3 linked regions of the Macaca fascicularis genome follow. The protein of the gene in region 3 interacts with the protein of the main gene of each other region in a biochemical or structural test. Links are inferred from orthologs where the notes say so. Each region holds a gene or a part of one and is shown on either strand. Other genes may lie near its edges.

The links.
Region 1: the proteins of DNAJC3 (region 3) and EIF2AK2 form a complex in vitro, tested with the Homo sapiens proteins (2 studies listed by BioGRID). The link is inferred for Macaca fascicularis from reciprocal best matches to the Homo sapiens genes DNAJC3 and EIF2AK2.
Region 2: the proteins of DNAJC3 (region 3) and THAP12 form a complex in vitro, tested with the Homo sapiens proteins (2 studies listed by BioGRID). The link is inferred for Macaca fascicularis from reciprocal best matches to the Homo sapiens genes DNAJC3 and THAP12.

What each region holds. Positions count from the first base shown.
Region 1 is NC_088387.1:85,035,332-85,043,199, forward strand, and holds part of EIF2AK2 (interferon-induced, double-stranded RNA-activated protein kinase), read left to right. Parts: intron 1-4,286; coding exon 4,287-4,435; intron 4,436-6,225; coding exon 6,226-6,349; intron 6,350-7,035; coding exon 7,036-7,112; intron 7,113-7,253; coding exon 7,254-7,347; intron 7,348-7,868.
Region 2 is NC_088388.1:75,238,496-75,246,363, reverse strand, and holds part of THAP12 (52 kDa repressor of the inhibitor of the protein kinase), read left to right. Parts: intron 1-1,266; exon of another isoform or gene 1,267-1,361; intron 1,362-4,615; coding exon 4,616-4,723; intron 4,724-7,868. UniProt on the Homo sapiens protein: Upstream regulator of interferon-induced serine/threonine protein kinase R (PKR). May block the PKR-inhibitory function of DNAJC3, resulting in restoration of kinase activity and suppression of cell growth.
Region 3 is NC_088391.1:86,691,453-86,699,320, forward strand, and holds part of DNAJC3 (dnaJ homolog subfamily C member 3), read left to right. Parts: intron 1-497; coding exon 498-679; intron 680-1,146; coding exon 1,147-1,266; intron 1,267-4,127; coding exon 4,128-4,233; intron 4,234-4,317; coding exon 4,318-4,438; intron 4,439-7,868. UniProt on the Homo sapiens protein: Involved in the unfolded protein response (UPR) during endoplasmic reticulum (ER) stress.

The sequences.
Region 1 (7,868 bases), on a different chromosome or scaffold from region 3:
ACACCTGTCATCCTAGCATTTTGGGAGGCTGAGGCAGGTGGATCACCTGAGGTCAGGAGTTGAAAACCAGCCTGGCCAACATGGTGAAACCCTATCTCTACTAAAAATACAAAAAATTAGCTGGGCGTGGTGGCGGGCACCTGTAATCCCAGCTACTTGGGAGGCTGAGGCAGGAGAATTGCTTGAACCCGGGAAACAGAGGTTGCAGCGAGCCTGAGGTCGTGCCATTGCACTCCAGCCTGGGGACCCTGTCTCAAAAAGAAAAAAAAAAAGACAAAAGTACACCCATATAGGGCACATACCATGCATAAATAGAGCTTGCAGGACTGGAAGTTGCTCTGAGTGAGTCAGTGAGTGGGTGGTGAGTGAATGTGAAGGCCTAGGGCATTATTGTATACCACTGTAGACTTTATAAACACTGTATACATAAGCTACATTCATTTTATTAAAAATTTTTTTCTTCAATAATAAATTAACCTTAGCTTACGGTAACTCTTTTACTTTATAAACTTCTTATTTTTAACATTTTGACTCTTTCCTAATAACACTTAGCTTAAAACACAAACGCAGCCAGGCGCAGTGGCTCATGCCTGTAATCCCAGCACTTTGGGAAGCCGAGGCGGGTAGATCACCTGAGGTCAGGAGTTTGAGACCAGCCTGGCCAACACGGTGAAACCCTGTCTCTACTAAAAATACAAAAATTAGCCAGGTGTAGTGGGGGTCGCCTGTAATCCCAGCTACTTGGGAGGCTGAAGCAGGAGAATTGCTTGAACTCAGGAGGCGGAGGTTGCAGTGAGCCGAGATCATGCCACTGCATTCCAGCCTGGGCAACAGGGCAAGACTCCATCTCAAAAAAACAAAACAAAACAAAAACGAAAACAAAAACACATAGTATGGCTGTACAAAAATATTTTGTTTTGTTACATCTTTATTCTATAAGCTTTTTTCTATTTTTAGAATTTTAAACTTCTTTTTTTTTTTAACTTTTAAACTTTGTTGTTAAAAAATTAAAACATGATTGGGCACAGTGTTTCATGCCTGGGATGTCGAGGAGCCATGATTATGCCACTGTACTCCAGCCTGGGTGACAGAATGAGACCCTGTCTCAAAAAAAAAAAAAAAAAATGCTGGGCATGGTGGTTCATGCCTGTAATCCCAGCACTTTGGTAGTCAAGGTAGGTGGATCACTTGAATTTGGGAGTTTGGGATTAGCCTAGGCAACATGGTGAAACCCTCTCTGTACTAAAAATACAAAACACTAGCCAGGCTTGGTGGCACGTGCCTGTAGTTCCAGCTACTCAGGAAGCCGAGGCAGGAGGATCATGTGCCTGACATGTCATGGCTGCAGTGAGCTGTGATCTTGTGACTACACTCCAGCCTGGGCAACAGAGCAAGACCCTGTCTCAAAAAAAAAGAAAGAAAAAAATTACAACACACACACACACACCAGCCTGCCTACACAGCATCAGGATCATCAGCGTCACTGTCTTCCACCTCCACATTTTGTCCCTCTGGAAAGTGTTCAGGAGCAAAAACATACATGGAGCTATTCTTTCCTATTGTAGCAATTCCTTCTTTTGGATTACCTACCGAAGGACCTGCCTGAGACTGTTTTACAGTTTACTTTTTTTTTTTTTTTAAGTAGAAAGAGTGCCTTCTAAAATAATGATTAAAAAGTATAATAAATATATAAACCAGTAACAGTTACTTATTATTATCCAGTATTATGTACTGTACATAATTGTATGTGCCAGACTTTTTTATAAGACTGTAGCACAGTAGATTTGTTTAGAGCAGTGTCACTGCAAACATGTGAGTAATGCATGGTGCTGTAACCCAGGAGTTTGAGATTGGCCTGGGCAATATGGCGAAACCCTGTCTGTACTAAAAATACAAAAAATTAGCCATTATAGTGGCTATGACCTCACTAGATGACAGTAATTTTTTAGCTCCATTATAATCTTACGGGACCACTGTCATATATGCAGTCCATTGTTGACCAAAATGTCATTATGCAGTACATGATTATCCTTTAGATCATCTCTAGATTACTTATAATATCTCTAATACAATGTAAATGCTATGTAAATAGTTTTTTGTTGTTGTTGTTTTTTGAGACAGGGTCTTACTATCACCCAGGCTGGAGTGCAGTGGCATGATCAAGGCTCACTGCAGCCTCAGTCTCCCCAGGCTCAGGTGATCCTCCCACCTCAGCATCCCAACTGACTCGGACTACAGGCACGAGCCACCACACCTGGCCAATTTTTGTATTTTTTGTAGAGATGGAATCTCACTATGTTGTCCAGGCTGGTCTTGAACTCCTGAGCTCAAGCGATCCGCCCACCTCAGCCTCCCAAAGTGCTAGGATCGCAGGTGTGAGCCACCACAGCCAGCTATAAGTAGTTGTTATGCTGTATTGTTTAGGGAATAATGACAAGGAAAAAAACTGAATATGTTTAGTACAGATGCAACCAGCAATTTTTTTCAAATATTTTTGATTGTGATTGGTGAATCCAGGGATTTGGAACCCGTGGATATAGAGAGCCAAGTGTTTACAGAGAGCAGATAATGGAGAACCAATATACATGTGACTGGTGTCCCTGAAAATAAGAACAGAGTAAATAGTACAGAAGAAAATGATCTGAAGAGATTTCAGCAGAAAATGTTTATGAAATAAAGACTTGGCTACAGATTAAAACAACTTAATAGATACAGGAAAATTTAGAAACACCCAGACCAACATTGATTCTTTTTTTCTCTTTTATTTTTTATTTTTGAGACAGAGTCTCGCTCTGTTGCCCAGGCTGGAGTGCAGTGGCACAATCTCTGCTCACTGCAACCTCCGCCTCCCGTGTTCAAGCAATTCTCTGCCTCAGCCTCCTGAGTAGCTGAGATTACAGGCCTCCACCACCATGGCCAGCTAATTTTCTGGTATTTTTAGTAGAGACAGGGTTTCACTATGTTGGCCATGCTGGTCTTGAACTCCTGACCTCGTGATCCACCTGCCTCGGCCTCCCAAAGTGCTGGGATTACAGGCATGAGCCACCGCGCCTGGCCCCAACACTGATTCTTATGAAAGTACTGCGCTCCAGAGATGAGGAAAGAATTCTACAAGCATCTAGAGAGAAGAAGAAAACTATGTGAAATGTAAATATTTTTAAAGTTTCATGCTGTGCACAGCAACATTATAAACCAGGAGATAGTGTAGCAATGCTTATAAAATGAGACATGAAGTCATTTACATTTTAGACAACAGAGGACTATTCTCAGATTTGGAAAATTTTGGGAAAATTTAGGTTTCAAGATTCTTTCTTGAAAAATCTACTTAAAGATATCCTTCTAACCAAATTAAAAAAAAAATCAAGCAAAATTACAAATTATAATTATTAATGAGGTAGAAAATTGAGTCAAGAAGTTAGAAAAAAATAGAATGTCTTACCCCCAAAAAGCAGAAGAAAGAAAATAACAATGGTTGAAATTACTATAAAAGAAATAAAAAAGAAAAAAAATAAAGATCAATAAAACCAAAAGCTAGTTTTTTGACAAGATTAATAAAATAGCAAAACTCAGCTGGGTGTGGTGGCTCACACCTCTAATCCTAGCATTTTGGAAGTCTGAGGCAGGCAGATAACTTGAGTTTAGGAGTTCGAGACCAGACTGGGCAACATGGCCAAACCCTGTCTCTACAAAAAATACAAAAAAAGTACCCAGATGTGGTGGTGTGTACTTGTAGTTCCAGGTACTTGTGAGACTGAGACAGGAAGATCGCTTGAAACCAGGAGGTCAAGGCTGCAGTGAGCTGAGGTTGCACCACTGCACTCTAGCCTAGGTAACAAAGTGATACCCTGACTCAAAAAAATTAAAAAAAAAAATAGCAAAACTTTGGACAAGATTTTTGTTGGACTAAGAAAAAAAGGTAGAGATAACAATAGTAGAAATCACGCTATTATATTCATCTTTTTCATTAAGTTGTGATCCAGTATCTCTTGCCTCATTTTTTGAGATTAGAAAGAATATAACAAGCTAGAACGTGTTATAGTACTTTCCAAAGACAAACAAGAAAAAGCAACTTCTTTCCTATTGTTAAAATCTATCTTTGTAGATTTTTTCTGGTAGAGGGAGATAGATAGTCACACTTTTACTCAAGGTAATATAATAGAAAAATATATAACATCCAACCTGTCTTTCACATTGCTCATTTAGTAATTTTATTAGAAGAATGATTTTTAAAAGGTTAAATCTTTGTTGTCATTTATATTAAACAAGAATTTTTTTTTTCTTTGTAGGCAGTTAGTCCTTTTTCATTGACAACAACCAGTTCTTCGGAAGGATTATCCATTGGGAATTACATAGGCGTTGTCAATAGAATTGCCCAGAAGAAAAGACTAACTGTAAATTATGAACAATGTACATCGGGGGTGCATGGGCCAGAAGGGTAAGACATAATTTGGCTTTTCTTTCTGTTTCATTGTATCTAAGCAATAAAGTTGGTTTATTTTCATGTCTAATTTTCCAGAAATATGTGTCCTTTTAAACATTCTATATGGCAGGTTTTATATGATTGATAGTAATTTGATTTCTAATTTGTAATTAAAATGTTTAATTGCTGAAGCCATGGAGCCCACTTACCGTAATTGATCAAATTAGGGTAATCCTTTATTTCAGAGGTGTAGCTGGATGGTTTAGTCTGTGGAACAAGAGGGTACAGGGTGCCACTGCTCAAAGAATGCAGAGATCTTTTCGTCATTGAGGACATGATGGTGGTAACTATCTGAAAACCTCTCTGCCACATGTATAGAATGACTCTTCACCCTTGTCAGATCAGGGAGCTCTTTGTTCAGGTATTTGTCCTTCAAATTGGATTAAATGAACAAATACCATGTATCAGAAGGAATGAGTTTTAGCCGTAGACTGAGAGGAGACCAGGATTTGAGGGATCTGATGAGACAGATAAGCTAGAGTTTCAAAGTTACTAAGAACGTCACCACTGAGCTAAGATGTTCCTGGAAATGAGGATAAAGAATGGATTGGAACTGAAAAAAGCAGAAATCAAAGGAGTATGAGGCGATTGTTTTTCAACTACAACCAACCAGTTAATGAGAAAGAAGAAAAAAAAATATCTACATGGCAAATAGTTCAAATCATCACTTTAGGATACTGTTCTATGAATTGACTCAGCTATTCACAGTCATGGCTTTTGGGCCAAAACCAGGAAGAAAAACATGTGATAGTATTCATTGGAATGAAATAGTCAAAAGTGAATCTGTTGAGTCAATCTTGATAATTAAGAGACTATTTTATTTTCTGTAGCTCACTTTTTTGATTTCTTTGAATTATGCTCTCTAACGTTAGATACCTAAAAGAAAGAAGAAATCTATTTGCGGGGGGACAGTGTCTGAAAAAAATAGGAGCTATAGAAATGATCCAGTTACTCAACCCAGCTATTTAATTCAGGGTCTAGCAGGGAAGACTCACCCTGTTTGGATGTGTTTCTATCAATGGCCTTCAATAGAAGCACAAAGGAAAAGGAGTTCAAATACTGGAATCATTTTGCAGTAATATGTAGTAACTCTGTGATATAAATTACCATGTCCATTGTTTTATCCCTTAAAAATAGTTCTTATATAATTGTCCAGGTATCCTGGCCTAACCACAAATGTCCTTACGTCTAATAGGAGAGTGTGGACTTTAGTATAGGGAATCTACACTGTGGGGATTTTCTCAAATTTTTGTGCACATAAGCAGATGGCAGACAATGTTGAAGTTAGAGCAGAATCCATGCTTTGCTCTTGCCCTACGCTGTAACTTCATAGCTTCTCCTGTCAAATCCACTTTCTCTGCTGGCTTTTTCCTTCCCATTTGAGCACTGCTGAAAAAATTCACTGGACCTCTTTCTTTTCTACCTCCATATCTTTTGACCTTTGGGGAATTAAAAAACAAAAAAAATCACCACTTAGTGCCTTTGTGCCATATCTTTCAGCAAAGCAACCAAAAATTAGAAATTGCCTGGAAAACGCAAGCTCAGATGTCAACTGATCCTGGTTATTCAGAGAAATTGGTCAGGCAGGTTACTGAGGGTTTAAATTATGCAAGATATGAACTATAAATCTATCTAATAAATTGGTATTATCTTAAGATCTCTGTTAATGTTTTTTTTTTTTAATCGTAAGTTGGATTTACTATATTTTTCATGTTTGGATAAGTACCCTCTATGATTTCTCCTAGATTTCATTATAAATGCAAAATTGGAGACAAAGAATATGGTATTGGTACAGGTTCTAGTAAACAGGAAGCAAAACAGTTGGCCGCTAAACTTGCATTGCTTGAGATATCAGAAGAAACCTCAGTGGTACGTATTGCCTTTGGATTAAATTTTTATGTTTTAAAATTCCCTCTGAAGTTGACTTCAGGTTAGACTGTGGTTACATTATGCCAAGACAGCCAGTGATTTAGCAAAATGATTCCTCCATTCTGTGTCGCACCAATGAGCCATGTGCCATGGGGCCGTGGCTGGGTGTGGTGGCTCACACCTGTAATCCCAGCACTGTGGGAGGCCAGCGCAGGTGGATCTCCTGAGCGCAGGAGTTTCAGACCAGCTTGGCTTGGGCGACATGGCAAAACCATGACTCTACAAAAAAAAAAAAAAAAAAAATTAGATGCGTGTGTGGCATGTACCTGTAGTTCTAGCTACTTGGGAGGCTGAGGTGGGAGGATTGCCTGAGCCTGGGAGGTGGAGGTTGCAGTGAGCTAAGATCGTGCCACTGCACTTCAACCTGGACAGCAGAGCCAGATCCTGTCTCAAAAGAAACAAACAAAAAAATTATCTGTCCTGTGATCCAGAAAAATGAAATAAAAAATAAAATAAAATAAAATCCAGACCAAACATCCATAAAAAACGTTATTGATCTTGTAATTGTTTATGGTTGTGGATTTGGTAAATGTGTTGAAATAAATGTGATAGTACACAGAAACTGAGCCTCTGTAGAGAAATAATTAGTTGCATTTAAGCCTACTAAGGGACTCTCTTTCTTTCAGAAACCTGACTCCATGTCCTCTGGTTCTTTTGCTGCTACGTGTGACTCCCAAAGCAACCCTTTAGTGAACAACTCACTGTAAGTGTAGACAAACAGTTGAGATATTTAACATATTCATATTTCTGTCTGAAAGAGAAATGTTTATGTTTAAGGAGAATTTAGAGAAAGAAGTGATAAAAACAGAATTAATAAACTAATAGTTACACCCTTTTCTTCTAGTGCTTCTGAATCATCAGCTGAAAGTGACGTCTCAGCAGATACATCAGAGATAAATTCTAAAAGTGGCAGTTTACACATTTCTTCATTGTTTACGGTATCATATTAGTCTTGAAGCTTCCTACTTAATCTTATTTTTCTGTGCGTTTCCTCATTTAAAAATAACTTCTAGTATTCCACCATAATTTTTATATTTTTTCTTATGCACTCTTACTAAATGATAATATTCAGCAGCCTTTTTTTTTTTTTTTTTGAGGTTGAGTCTCCCTCTGTCACTCAGGCTGGAGTGCAGTGGCGAGATCTTGGCCCATTGCCACCTCCGCCTTCCAGTTCAAGCGATTCTCCTGCCTCAGCCCCCTGAGTAGCTGGGATTACATGCGCATGCACCACACCCGGCTAATTTTTGTAGAGACGGGGTTTCAACATGTTGGTCAGGCTGGTCTCGAGCTCCTGACCTCGTGTTCTGCCTGCCTCAGCCTCCCCAAGGCTGGGATTACAGGTGTGAGCCACCGTGCCCGGCTCAGCAGCGTTTTGATTCTTTTTAAAATTAAGTTCCATTCCTCACCCTTCTACACGTCACTTCTGTCTTTCCTCACTCACCCCTATATTTTAATATAT
Region 2 (7,868 bases), on a different chromosome or scaffold from region 3:
TGAATAGTATCTGTTTTGTTCTTAAAATCTGATTTTGCCAGTCACCTATAATCCCAGCACTTTGGGAGGCCGAGGCAGGAAGACCACTTGAGCTCAAGAGTTTTGAGACCAGCCTGGGCAACATGGCCAGACGCCATATCTACAGAAAATACCAAAAAAACTAGCCAGGTGTGGTGACGTATGCCTGTAGTCCCAGCTACTTGGGAAGCTGAGATGGGAGGATCACTTGAGCTTAGGAAGTCAGGGCTGCAGTGAGTTGTGTTCATGCCACTCCACTCCACTCTGGGTAACAGAATGAGAGCTTGTCTGGAAAAAAACCCAAAATGATGAAAAAAGAAAAAAAGAAAGAAAGAAAAACTCCTCTGTGTCTGATGCCCCGTTTCTATTCACCCGAGGTAACTACTTTTTTTTTTTAAAGACAGTCTCGCTTTGTCACCCAGGCTGGAGTGCAGTGGTGCTCTCTCAGCTCACTGCAACCTCTGCCACCTCCCCCACCTCCTGGGCTCAAGCGATTTTCTCTCCTCAGCCTCTCAAGTAGCTGGGATTACAGGCACGTGCCACCACACCCAGCTAATTTTTGTATTTTTAGTAGAGATGGGGTTTCACCATGTTGGCCAGGCTAGTCTCAAACTCCTGACCTCAAGTGACCCGCCCACCTCGGCCTCCCAAAGTGCTGGGATTACATGTATGAGCCACCACACCCGGCTGAGGTAACCACTTTTAAATATTATTTAGTTTTCAGAAAAATTTTAGATGATTATAAAAGTATATATTTAAGGTAAAGTTGGTGTTTTTATTTCGAGCTGTTTAGAGCTTTTTTATGAGTAAAATTTTCATCTTGGAATGGAGCTCTTGTTTTCATGTTTTTGTATGTACTATTAGAACCAACTCTTAATTTTTATGTGCTAGATGTAATAGTAAACAAATTATCCAGGTAATGTGGAAAAACATTTCCATCAATAGTATGTAATTTCATATCAAGACCAGTTAATTGTGTGAGCTTGGCCAAGTCACTTCCCCTCTCTGGGCCCCAGTTCCTAATAAGGAGATTAGACCAGGTAATTCCTGAGTTCTAAGATTTTTAACCCTCTGTGATTCTCTTGCTGTGATTTATGAAAGGCACAAATAAGGCAAATTTGATTGAAATGAAGCAGAATTGTTTCAGTGTAACTAATGTAACACCTCAGATATTGGGATAGACATAAACTTGATTCGAAGGTACACTATATGTTGTTATGCAGCAATTTATTTTGATATTTTTTTCAGATACATTTTGCAGAGGCATCAGAAAACTAAAGAATGATTGGGTTATTTTATTTCTCAAAATTAATTGAAGCAGATACTTGTGAAGTCATTGGGAGGTGAGCCAGTTCCGGTTCAACAGTTTAATCACAAATATTTGAGGAATATTTTTGCCTTAATTTGTTAAGAGGGTAATAATGATCAACCGAAATAAAAGGTTTCATATGTTTAAAAGGCAAACTACTTTTATGTTCTTGACATTAAGTAAAAATATCCCAAATTATTTTAAATACATTTGCCATATGCATTTTTGCATTTTTATTTTAGTAATAAATATGGTCTCTTAATTAGATAATTCTAACCAGATTGTGAGAAATTTAAAGCATAGTTCATTCTTACATTCTTTAGAGAATAGAACAGAAAGATGAGCCAGGTTTGCTTTTTTAATTTCTAAATGATTCTTCAATCCTGAATAAATGAATCCGAATGTGAGAAAATGTTCTTTCTATACATCTAGGAGATGTTATTAAAAACTGGATTTCTGGGCTGGGTATGGTAGCTCACGCCTGTAATCCCAGCACTTTGGGAGGCTGAGGTGGGCGGATCATTTGCGGTCAGGAGTTCGAGACCAGCCTGGCCAACAGGGGGAAACCCCTTCTCTACTAAAAATACAAAAAAAAAAAGAAAAATTTGCTGGGCATGGTGGTGCACGCCTGTAATCACAGCTGCTCAGGAGGCTGAAATAGAAGAATCGCTTGAACCCAGGAGGCTGAGGTTGCAGTGAGCCAAGATTGTGCCACCGTATTTCAGTCTTGGTGACAGAGTGAGACTGTGTTTCAAAAACGAACAAGCAAACAAAAACCCCTGGATTTTCTGATATCCATATCTAAATGTTTAAGAGTTTTGGCTTTATTAGTTTGACATTGAAGATCTCATCAGTGGCAAGGCACAGTGGCACGTGTCTGTAGTCCCAGCTACTTAGGAGTCTAAGGCTGAAGGATTGCTTGAGCCTAGGAGTTCAGAGCCAGCCTGGGCAACATGATGATGAGACCCTGTCTTTAAACAAACAGACAAAAAAAAAAAAATCTCATCAGTAAACATTCATGACTACTGAATTTGGCCTGAGCCAAATATTTTATTATTTTGATGCTAGAGTAAGATTATTGTTTCATGCTCAAACCTTAATTCAGCAGTTAAAAATTAAATCTTGATACTGCGATACTTGATATCATAAGCAGTAATTGAATATTGTCTTCTTTGGCATGTGTCCTTGTAAATATTTATATTTTTCTTATTTTTATTATTATTTTTTGAGACAGGGTCTCGCTCTGTTGCCTAAGCTGGGGTGCAGTGGTGCAATCATGGCTCACTACAGCCTCGACCTCCCAGGCTCAAGCAATCCTTCCCGTTCAGCCTCCCAAGCAGCTGGGACTACAGGCATGTGCCACCATACCTGGCTAATTTTTGTATTTTTTGTAGAGATGGAGTTTTGCCATGTTACCTAAGCTGGTCTTGAACTCCTGGGGTCAAGCTGTCTACCAGGCCATGGCTTCCCAAAGTGTTGGAATTACAGGTGTGAGCCAACATTCTTGGCCAAAATAAATATTTATAAAATGTCATTTTTTTCTTTCACATATTCTGTTTTCCGATCTATAATGTCATTGCTTTATTTGCAAATAGAAAATCATTTGATTTGACTTAAAAATTTGTTAAAATGTTTTTTTCCTCCCCTCCTTATTTAATAATTGGTAAGATATCGAAAGTTGATTGTGTATTTGTATTTGCTTATTTTGGGGACATTTGCTCAGTGTGAAAGATGGGGGAGCTTTGAGTATAATAACTTGTACCCCCTTCAGTGATTGTGTCCCTAACCAATTCCTCATTCAGCCTCCCTGGTAGATTCAGGATCACGAGCCCAGAACTAGAAGTTGAGGGTTACTAGGAAGTCAGAGAATCATCTTTGTGCTTTCTGTTATGGCATGGAATTGAACTAGAAAATATTGACTCTGAATAGAAATTCATCCCAAATGTGTTTAACAACTCTTTGGGTACAACCCAAGATAGTGTGTTCCATTTAGATACATGTTTTCCCTTCATGTCTTCCTGACCTCCCTCCTTTGGGTGAACAAATTTAGAAGTTGTTATTTTTGTTTGGCATGTTCTTTGAACATGCTTAGATATTTTGAAATAATCACTGCTTCCAAGAAAGCTTGTTTAAATGAAGTATGTTTTATCTTTATCATTGCAAATTGAGGAAGAAATTAAAGGCACTATTTCTTTGGACTGTCTGAGAGGAGTGTAATAGCAGTTATTTATTACTCTCCCTCTTAATAAGCTTCTTGTCTCTTACCCAGCCTCCTCAGGGCTGGCAGTAGGGCTGTTACCATCTAAGTATATATCCAGCTTCTAGCCAAGTTGGATGAAATTAACAGGAAGTAGGGTAAAGTATGATCATTCTTTCATAAGATCATTAGGACTTGAAAGAAATATAGAAATACCTAGATTATCATTTGCAAAAATGTGATTATGTATATCAGTATCACTTGTGGTGTGAGAGTTGGTTTCATGTGGCACATGAATCAATTTTTATTTTAGAAGTTTTGTAGTATGTGTTAAAAACATAAAATTTTTAAAAACGTAAGATAAAAACATCAGATCATTCTGCCTACAGTTTTTATTACTTAAGACAGTGTGAGTAGATTGTGTAAAAATACAGATGGTAATATAACTGAAATGGCAAGCATTATGATCGTTAAGTATGTGAATAATTTCATTTTGGGAAATGTTGAAATAGTTCCATACCAGAATTTTATTCAGAAAAAGAAACTGGGGCCCAAAAAGGGAAAGTAATTTAGCCAAGGTGTCTTAGTGAGTCATTCACTGGTAGAGTTTGGACTAGTTCCTAGGTCTCCTGGGTCCCAGTCCAATATTTTCACTGTACCTTGATACTTCTCAGTAATATTAGCAAAAGTGGAACATTAGGTAAAATAGGGATGCATTATTATGGAACATACAAGAGTGCAGATTATTTTGGGAGACTTGTACCTCCTGTAGATTGTGGGCTCTTGGAAGGACAGGAAGATAAAGTAGCTGGGATGCTGAATTAGAAACAGATACGCAAAATGCAAGCACATTTTATGTTTTATGCCTACCTTCAATTCAGTTTCTTAATTTATAATAAGATTGCCAGAAGGGCAAATGCAGGTACAGTTGGAAATAGTAGACTGACCTGAACTGACATCAAGTTCTATAAGCCTCTATACTTTAGAGCTGGAGTTGAAGGAATATTGTGGAGGTCATTAACATAGAATTTTATTGATATGTAATATATTTATAAGGATCATATCTGAATTAACACATTTTTCTTTTTCAGAGTCCTTATAGGACAGTTCTTCGAGATAATGCAATACCAACAATATTTGATCTTACCAGTCATTTGAACAACCCACATAGTAGACACAGAAAACGAATAAAAGAACTGGTATGTCTGTGTACTTTCAGCTTTCCCACCTTCCCCCATAATACTATGAAATCAAATATGGATGCATTTATGTTAAATTAATCCAAGTTACTCTCTATTTCAGAAGTAATGTAATGGGAAATAAATGTTATGGTAAATAGTAGCCTGGATGTGAGATGATGAGTTTTAGTATTTAAATTGGAAAATCTCCCTCAAATTTAGCCAGTTGATACTGTTGAGTTGGTCCAGAGTGTGCTATTAATTATAGGCCACTAGCTCATTCCCTTCTGGGGAAGAAGGAGAAAGCTACCTTTTCTTTTGTAGTAAGGAAAATAGAGCTGAGGTGTTTCCAGAGTTCAGCACAAAGGAATAAAGAAAGGGAAAGTGTAAAAGTGGAGACATGGAATGTTTTAAAGATAAGGCTTCTGTCACTATTAAATATGGACAGAGTTTAGAAAAAAAACATCGAAATCTCTGTTTATGGCATAATTTACACAATTCTTATATTCCTTAGATATCCTTCAGTTCTGAGGATTGACACCTATCTGTATTTTGTTGACCTTAGGTGAACGGAAGTATAGTAACTCCTTAGTCCATGGCTTTCTGTCATCATTGCCACTAGCAAGGCCCTTATTTTGCTTTATTATTTTTCCTTCTTCACCCACTATTACCATTACCATTCCTTCCCCTGCCAGTTGGTGTCCATGCTAGTGTATTTAATGTATGTCCTATCAGTTCACCTACTGTGTGCTTTTTAAAGATAGCATTTATCTAATTTTCCTTATTCTATGCTTACCATATTTAGATATTTTATCCATTTGGAGTTTGTATGACATACAGTAGGGATCTATAATAACTTTTTCTCCTTGTAGAGAAACTGTTTTCCCAACATGGTCTGTTAATCCTTCCTTTCCTCTACTGGTGTAAAATGCCACCTCTGTTATATAACAAGTTTACATAAGGCTGTTTTGGGGAGTTCTGTTCCATTTCACTGTATTATTTGTTTGCAGCTATGCCGCACTGTTTCATTACCATGGCTTTGTAATACATCTAACTTTCTTTTTTTTTTTTTTTTTTTTTTTTTTTTTTTGAGACGGAGTCTTGCTCTGCCGCCCAGGCTGGAGTGCAGTGGCCGGATCTCAGCTCACTGCAAGCTCCGCCTCCCGGGTTCACGCCATTCTCCTGCCTCAGCCTCCCGAGCAGCTGGGACTACAGGCGCCGCCACCTCGCCCGGCTAGTTTTTTTGTATTTTTTAGTAGAGACGGGGTTTCACCGTGTCAGCCAGGATGGTCTCGATCTCCTGACCTCGTGATCCGCCCGCCTCGGCCTCCCAAAGTGCTGGGATTACAGGCTTGAGCCACCGCGCCCGGCCTAACTTTCAAATAAGGTGATTGTTTAACTCTTCTTTTTCTTAACTATTTGTGGACCTTTATTCCTCCATATGAATTTTTTTTTTTTCCCTAGACAGGGTCTCACTCTGTCACCCAGGCTGGAGTGCAGTGGCATAATCTTGGCTAACTGCAACCTCCACCTGCCGGTTTCCAGCAATTCTTCCTGCCTCAGCCTCCAGAGTAGCTGAGACTACAGGCCCTCACCACTATGCCTGACTAATTTTGTGTTTTTGGTGGAGACACGGTTTTACCATGTCAGCCAGGCTGGTCTCGAACTCCTGACCTCAAGTGATCTGCCCGCCTCGGTCTCCCAAAGTGCTGGGATTATAGACACGAGCCACTGTGCCTGGGCTTTTGAATTTGAAAGTCCTTTTGTCAAGTTCTCCTAGAAATGATTTTGGGATTTTCATTATAATTGCTTTGAATTGACATCTTTACAATATTAGCAATTATAAATTTATTACTAGTTTAGTATTACTAATGTTAGTAAATGAATATTACTAGTTTACTATTACAGTATAAACTATTGTAAAGTATTAACTAGTTCCATCCATGAATAGAAAAAAAATCCCATAAAATACCTATCAAGTAACAGCAATCATTGACAAAACTAAATACTAGTTTTTTGAAAAGAATATTAGAATACTTTTAGGAGTACAGAAAATGAAAAATTTTGAGGGCTTTCGTTACAGTTCTTTAAATGACAATGTATACATGCTTCCTTAGATCACTTCTTAAATACATTACGGTTCTTACTGGTATAGGTGATATATTCTGGTTGAAATTGTTTCCAGCACTTTTGAAGAACTTCTTTTTAAATTAATCCTAATAAGTCTTCTGAGTTTTTCCTCTGTTACTGATTGTATCATCTGTAAATAAGGAGAAATTTGTCACTTTCAGTTCTTACTATTTTAATTTTTTCTGTTGCCTGCCTTGTTTAGTCAAGATCCCTGGTACTATGTTGAACAATTCTAGTAATGTCATACTTGCCTTGCCCCATTAAGTATAATGTTTGCTCTTGGTATTGTTAGATAGTTTTTATCAAGTTAAGAAAATTCCCTTCTACTCCCATATTCAGAGTTTTCTTGTTTGTTTTTTGTTTGTTTTCTTAAGACAGGGTCTCACTCTGTCACCCAGGCCAGAGTGCAGTGGGGCAGACACTGTTCATTGCAGCCTCTGCCTTCTGGGCTGAAGCAGTCCTCTTACCTCAGCCTCCCAAATAGCTGGGACCATAGGTGTGTGCCATCATGCCTGGCTTATTTTTTTGTATTTTTTATTTTTTATAGATGCGATCATGCCATGTTGCCCACTTTGGTCTCAAACTCCTGGGCTCAAGCAGTCCTCCTACCGCAGCCTCCCAAAATGCTGCCATTACGGTAGTGAGCCACCACACCTGACCTATATTCCGTTTTTGTATTTGACTTGTCACATGCTTTCATTGCATGTATTTAATAGAAAAGTTCATTTTTTTCATTCTTTAATGCAGTGAGTACTAATGGATTTTCTGTGAACCATCTGCATTTCTGTAATGAATTCTAGTTGATTGCAATATGTCTGTTTACTTTTATATACCATTGGATTCAATTGGTCAGTATTTTATTTAGGATTTTACATTTGTGAATCTTGGCCTGTAACTTTCTTTTCATGTACTGTCATTATCCAATTACAATATCAAGGTTCTATTAGCATCATAAAATAAGTTGGATATCTTTTTTTTTTTCTCCTAGAAAAATTTGTATAGGTAGATGTTAACTGCTCTTGAAAGTAAGGTAGAA
Region 3 (7,868 bases):
GGCATGAGCCACTGTGCCCAGCTAAGAATTTAATGTGGTTATTAGCAGAAAAAAGTAGTTTGCCAATTTAGAACCTAGATTTTATTTTTTGACTACAAATTAGAATTGTTGATTAAGTATAAAAATCTGATAACAGAATATTCTCTTCAAATATGCTTCACTAGGAACAACCCTCCAATAGTAAATGCTATGTTTTCTTATTTTCAGTGTCTTAGAATTATATAATCGAAGGAGGTAAGAAAAGGGCCTTGTTATTATATATATCCCTTCCCCCATTAGAATTCATTTACAACATTTTTGGAGAAACTATTTTGTCACATCAGTTTTGTCACATTTAAATTGTATCAGATTTTAAAATAATATTTGCAGTCTATAAGTCATCACATTAATTGAGAATGTTTTATGTTGATAAATACGTAGATAAAAAATACGTGGAATGCAACAATGAATGTGCATAATATTTTCTTCCTTAAAGTCTAGTTCTTTTGTTCCTCAAGGTTTGTGTTTGGGATGCAGAGCTACGGGAACTTCGAGCTGAATGTTTTATAAAAGAAGGAGAACCTAGGAAAGCTATAAGTGACTTAAAAGCTGCATCAAAGTTGAAGAATGATAATACTGAGGCGTTCTATAAAATAAGCACACTGTACTACCAGCTAGGAGACCACGAACTGTCCCTCAGGTCAGTCCTACTGACACACGTCTGATCTTCTTTAATTGTTGGCAGTAAGATAACCTCATCTTGTTTTAACATTTTAATATTAAATTAATAAGATGATGGTGGTTAAGGCTATTTTTATATTGTATATCCATTTATATGTTTTGTGTTATTCCCATGTTACTTTAATTCCACAGTTTGTTTTCATGAAGCTGCTTATTAAAATAAACAGGAAGGCTCTTATATTTCTAGAAACAAAATTGAATGTTTACTATATAATGCTAGTAAGTCATTTTAATTTGAATTAACAAATGTATGCATAGTACAATGCCATATATAAATGTGTATAGTAAATTATAAGTCTCAGTATGTTTTTGTTTAATTGTTGCAAACAAAAAATACTTTTACTGTGATTTCTGTATTTAGCGTGGAAAACTACTCATTGATTGTTTTGACATGGAGTATTTTCCTTTTTTTAAATACATGAACAGTGAAGTTCGGGAATGTCTTAAACTTGACCAGGACCATAAAAGGTGTTTTGCACACTATAAACAAGTAAAGAAACTTAATAAGCTGATTGAGTCAGCTGAAGAGCTCATCAGAGACGGCAGGTGAGAATACGGTTGTTCCAGCTGTCCAGCCATTCCTTATATGTTAGACTGTGGGCACAAGTGAATTACAGAACTGCTTTTACTTCTCAGCCATTGAGGGTGGGGTATTCTAGACAGCCCTGGGCCTTAGCAAAACTACCAGAACTGGACATTTTTGGAATAGGGAAGAATATAAACAATAGTAACTGTGTAGTATTCTTACCAGCAGACTTACTTGTATTATACCAAATATTTATTATCTCCTATATCAGGCACTGAGCTGTGTCCTGAGGGTGCAGAAACGAAGCTGATGGTAGTTTGTGTTCTTAACAAGTTTATAGCATTGCATGGGAGACACATATAGGAACAGATTATTAAAAGACAATATGATACCAAAGTGATAGAATGTACATAGGATAATTGGAGTACCGAAAAGGAGTATTTACTCCAAACCAGGATGGTGAAGGCAAGGAGTGAAAGAGAAGCTTTTTTTAGAGCAGACGATAGATATTTAAATCCTGATCCTAAAGAGAAAGTAAGAGTGGGCAGAAGTAAGAGGCTGTGTCGGTGTGAGTGTTATTTGTAGAGGGTTTGTAGGCTGGGCGGGAGGACTGAAAAGAGTACAGGGCACTGCAGACAAAACTGCCTAATAGAAAATAGGCTCTAATTCCTCTACTTTTAGTAGCTTTGTAAATTACCATCGTGAGAATGCTTTACCCAGTTTCCCCCAACATCTTGCAGACTATAACGCCTTGAAAAACCATAGTACCTTGTCACAATGAAGTTATTGATGTGGGTGCAGTCAAGATACAGAATAATTTCATCCCAACAAGGACCCCTCATGTTGCCCTTATAGCCACACCTACTTCCCTGTTGTTCCTATCCCTTCCTTAGCTAATCTAGTTACTTCTAGAATTTTGTCATTGTAAGAATGTTACATAAATAGAATCATACAATGTATAAACTTTTGGGATTGGCTTTTTTTTTTTTTTTTTTTTTTGAGACAATCTCACTATGTTGCACACCTGTTCACAGGTGCAGTCATAGGACATTGCAGCCTTGAACTGTTGGCCTTGAGTGATCCTTCTGCTTCAGCCTCCTGAGTAGCTGGGACTTCAGACACATGCTACCACAGCTGGCAGCATGGGCTTTTTCCCCCCTCATTCGAATTCTCTGGAGATTTATCCATATTGTATCAATAATTCCTCGTTTACTGTTGAATGGTTTCCATGGTGTGGATTTACTGCACTTTGTTTAACCATTTATCCATTGAAGGACCTGAGGTTGGGAGTTCGAGACCAGCCTGACCAACACAGAGAAACCCTGTCTCTACTGAAAATACAAAATTAGCTGGGCATGGTGGCACATGCCTGTAATCCCAGCTACTGCAGAGACTAAGGTGGGAGAATCACTTGAACCCAGGAAGCGGAGGTTGCGGTGAGCCGAGATTGCACCATTGCACTCCAGCCTGGGCAACGAGAGCGAAACTCCGTCTCAAAAAAAAAAAAAAAAGTTTTCTGTTTGCAAGTCTGCCCTTTTCAGGTCCTCTGGCTAGAGACAGCAGCCTTCTGCAGGTTTTTGTTACTGTCGTTCTGTACCTGTTGGCATTTCTGCATTGCTGGAATCTTCAGCTCCAAGTCTGGGATACATGAGATGAAAAAAGGAACCCAGGGAACTTCTTACCATGTTTTTCCTCAGGTCCTGAGTCACTAGCTAGTCTGTCTTCTCTCCTCCTTTGAAAGTTTTCTATTTTAAAAAATATACATTTAATTTCTAGGGTTTTTAGTTGTGCTTAGCTGGAGGAATTGGGAAAAATACATCTATTCCACTTTCCCAGAAGCTGGCTTTTTTGCTTTTTTCTTTTACTTTAAGTTCCAGGATGTATGTGCAGAACGTGGAGGTTTGTTACATAGGTAAACGTGTGCCAAGGTGGTTTGCTGCACCTATCAACCCATTACCTAGGTATTAAGCCCCGCATTCATTAGCTATTTGTCCTGATGCTCTCCCTCCCCTTGCTGCCTGCCCCACACAGGCCCCCGTGTGTGATGTTCCCTTCCCTGTGTCCATGTGTTCTCATTGTTCACCTCCCACTTATGAGTGAGAATATGCAGTGTTTGGTTTTCTGTTCCTGTGTTAGTTTGCTGAGGATGATAGAGAAGCTGGCTTTTATTTTAAATGTTTTAGTTAAGCCTGTGTTTTAATACATCAGCATATTTACATATGAAGATTGTAGCACATTGGGAGTAATGTGCCACCATGGCATAGAAACATATTTTTTAGTTTACTATTGTTGAGGAAAATAACTGAGTATCTATAACAGGATTAGTACTTTTTACTGGTTTGAAGAAAATGCTGAAATAGCTTTTATTCTTAGAAAGCTTATACAGTTGGGAATTTAATCAGGTACCTTCTGTATGAACTACATTGTACTTTGTTGTGAATACTGACATTAATTATATAAAATGGCACTTAATGGGTTCCGTTATTTTCATGGAAGTGTTTACTGACCAAGAAATAAAACTTGATCTCTGTATTGTTCAATGTGCTCAGTATAAGTCAGACTTCAACAGGGTATTTTACTCAGGTTCGGAATTCTGAGCTTGTTTCTGTAAGGAAATTCTTCTGGTTTGATTGGTACTTACAGGTATGCTTTGTTCTGTCCATCTGCATCTCCTATGGTCAGATGTTTTTATTTCTTAACTCTTAATTATGGAGTGTACCTTCTATGGGACTCAAGATTAATAAGGGAAAAGCCAAATCTGAAGCCGTGGCCTCATCCAGTTGGATTGATTAAGCAACACATGGTGAAGAGGGGAGGAGCCTTTCTACAGCTCTGGAAATCGAATGTCATTGTTTCTTATCATGATTTGCTCATTTCTTAGATACACAGATGCTACCAGCAAATATGAATCTGTCATGAAAACAGAGCCAAGCATTGCTGAGTATACAATTCGTTCAAAGGAGCGGATTTGCCATTGCTTTTCTAAGGTAACAGTTGACTTGTTCCCAGAAATGTGAAAACTCATCATGTGGAATACCAACCATAAATCCCTTTCTCACATTTCCTTTTAGGACGAGAAGCCTGTTGAAGCTATTAGGGTTTGTTCTGAAGTTTTACAGATGGAACCCGACAATGTGAATGCCCTGAAAGACCGAGCAGAGGCCTATTTGATAGAGGAAATGTATGATGAAGGTAAATCTTTAAGGAATTTGATTTGCAGTACCGAAGTGTTGATTAGGAAATTATCACATTTTAAGCTTCCTTTTCCTTAAAACAAGTTTACCGGAGTACCTGGAAATGGTGACGATTTAGAAAAATGGCAGAGAGCTTGAAAATTACTCTTCCATAGTGGAACCTGAAAGGTATACCATGGGAGGAAAGAGTTCTGCCATTGAAACCAGTTCAGTACAATAGAAAAATAAGTATTTTAGCTTTTTTTTGTAGAAAGTTAGGAAAAAAATAAAATAGAAAATTTAAATGTAGTTCTCATGTCATCCAGAGGTAATCACTGTTCATTTTGCATTTATCTTTTCCAGCTTATGTCTATGCACATACATTACTCTATATTTTATGCACATATACATATTCTCTCTCTCTATATATATATACACACACACACACTCGGTGTGTATGAAACATATATACAGAAAGCATACATATATGTCATATATCCCTAATATAAAATGATCCTCTGTGACCCCAAACTGTGTAGTAAAATAGGACAGTTGCTGCCCTGTTTTGTTCAAGCCGAATGAAGTAACAAGATTCCTGCTAGATGTTGTGAGGACCTTGGTTAAAAGCAGTGTCCTGTTTTTGGAAGAAAACTGTGGCGTATATAGTAATATATAGTTTTTGAAAAATAGAATCCATATATATATATGGAGATATATATATATATAGTTTTATACTTTTTTTCATGTGACACTAAGTTATGAACATTTAAATGAAACAGTTTTTAAAAAAATAGCGTTATAAGCCCTTATTGCAAATATTTTGTTTCAAATTCAGATAAAGCATTTTAAATCAAAAACTAATTTTCTCTTATAGTTAAATGAAGGGTTTGAATGGTAAAATTTGGTTTGTGATACTCTTTTTAAGGCAAAACTGGTCAATCTATTTTTCCCTGCTTTCCTCAATTAGAAAAGAATCTTGCTCCTAAGCAAGTTCCCGGTTTCCAGGGAATGATAACAACCTGGTCACTACTATTCCTGTGACATCTTGTGGGGGATTCAGACCTTGAGGTCTCTGAATGAGGCTTGAAATGAATGCAGTCAAAATGATGTTTTAATATTCATAAGCATGCTTCAATAAGGCAGGTAGTCCACATAGAAAATCCCTTTAGCACACTCGTTCTCTTTCCTTTTGAGCCACCGTGTCTACTCGCTGAGATGGTTTTACTCTAGGATTTTGCATTCCAGTTAGTTTTTGGAACTCTTTATCAAAGATACTTTTGTCATCTGTATGTAAACCCTTAGCTCTTACTGCGAAATTAGAGAAGCTACAGAAGAATATAAACAGCTTAGCTGTTAAAAAAAAAAAAAAAAGAAGGCTAAATCTTGTAGAATGCTAAATATAATTTGAAAGATGCTTTTGAAACTTGAATGTTAAACTGACTTGCTTTTTGGGGAAACCTGATGGCTTAATTCTGGAAGAAAAAGATGCTTAGTGCTAATTTGATATAATTGATCTGGTTTCTTTTTTTTTTTTTTTGGAAATGGAGTCTTGGTCTTTTACCCAGGCTGGAGTGCAATGGTGCAATCTTGGCTCACTGCAACCTCCGCCTCCTAATTGCAACCAGTTCTTCTGCCTTAGCCTCCCGAGTAGCTGGGATTACAGGTGTGCACCACCACGCCTGGCTAATTTTTGTACTTCCAGTAGTGATGGGGTTTCACCATATTGGCCAGGCTGTTCCCGAACTCCTGACCTCAAGTGATCTGCCTGCCTTGGCCTCCCAAAGTGCTCGGATCACTTGGCCCTGCCCAGTTGATCTGTCTTTGAAGCCTGTTGTTTCCTTGAAAAAATTCTTTTGTATAGGAATTTATTAAAGAGAGAGAGAGAATGGTTGCCAGCTCTCTAAATTTGCAAAAGAAAGAAAGGAAAAGAGCCTGTATAATTGAAACTGACAAGTATTACCTGACTCGTTTGGATTGGAATCAGGGGTTTAGTAAATGATGTAAATAAATAATAATCTTACTTAACTAAGCTAAATAACAGTATGTCTTCAGTTTACTTGAGTTAGAAATATGCTTTCCATATTCTTCTTCCTGGTTTTACCTTTTTTAAATAAGCAATTAAAAATGATGGCAGGTACATAATAAAGAATGAATAGGTTTAGGTTAGTGAATAATGGAACATGGACGTTTATTAATTTGGGGCTTAGAATTATCAGGAAACATATCGGGATATCACTCAATAGAAAGGAAGTAAAGTAAGACTGTTATTTGAGGATGCCTCTGAGATCTTGAAAAATCAAGGGAAATTCTTTATCTCTGCATGTCTCCGTTTTAATAGCTTTTGAGAGGAAGAAACTGACATTGAAGCAATACGAAAATATTGACAAATTCCTTTGAATATAGGGGTAACACAGGTGTCCTTAGGAAATGATCAGTTATATTTTGCTAGAACTTTAGCTGTGTGAGGGCAGAGACCTGTGGCTGTTATATTAACTGATGCATTCCTGGTGCTTATGCTGGCACTCATGTTTGCTGAATGAATGAAGGTAATTTATTTATTATACAATGAAGTCATAGTGGAGAGTAGGGAATTTAGAATTAGTCCTGCCTTTGAGTCTGGCTTTGTGCAGTTATTCTATTTTTTTTTTTTTTTTTTTTTTTTTTGAGATGGAGTCTCGCTCTGTAGCCCAGGTTGGAGTGCAGTACCGTGATCTCGGCTCACTGCAACTTCCGCCTTCCGGGTCCCAGTTCAAGCAATTCTCCTGCCTCAGCCTTCCGAGTAGCTGGGATTACAGGAACTGTGCCACCATGCCCAGATAATTTTTGTATTTTTAGTAGAGACAGGGTTTCACCATGTTGGCCAGGCTGGTCTTGAACTCCTGACCTCGTGATCCACCTGCCTCGGCCTGCCAAAGTGCTGGTATTACAGGCGTGAGCCACCGTGCCTGGCCAGTTATTCTATTTTTTGTTTTTAATTCTGGTAAAAGATACAATATAAAATTTACCATCTTAACCATTTTTACATGTATAATTTAGTAGAGTTAAATATGCTCACATTGCTGTGAAAAAGATCTTCAGAACTTTTTCATCTTTCTAATCTGATCTCTGTACCCATTAAACAGCCGCTCCTTTTTACCTCTCCCTTAACCCTTGGGAACCACCGTTCTGCTTTCTGTCACTATGAATTTGACTATTCTAGATCCTCATATAATTGGAATCATATACTATTTGTCTTATTGTGCCTGGCATGTTTCACTTAGCATAGTATCCTCCAGGTTCATCCATGTTGTGGCATGTGACAGGATTTCTTTTTCTTTTAAGGCTGAATAGTATTCCATTGTATGGATATCCCACATTTTGTTTATTAATTCATCCACTGATGAACATTTGTGTTGTTTCTGCCTTCTGGCTATTGGAATGGTGTTGCTATGGATATGGGTGTGCAAATA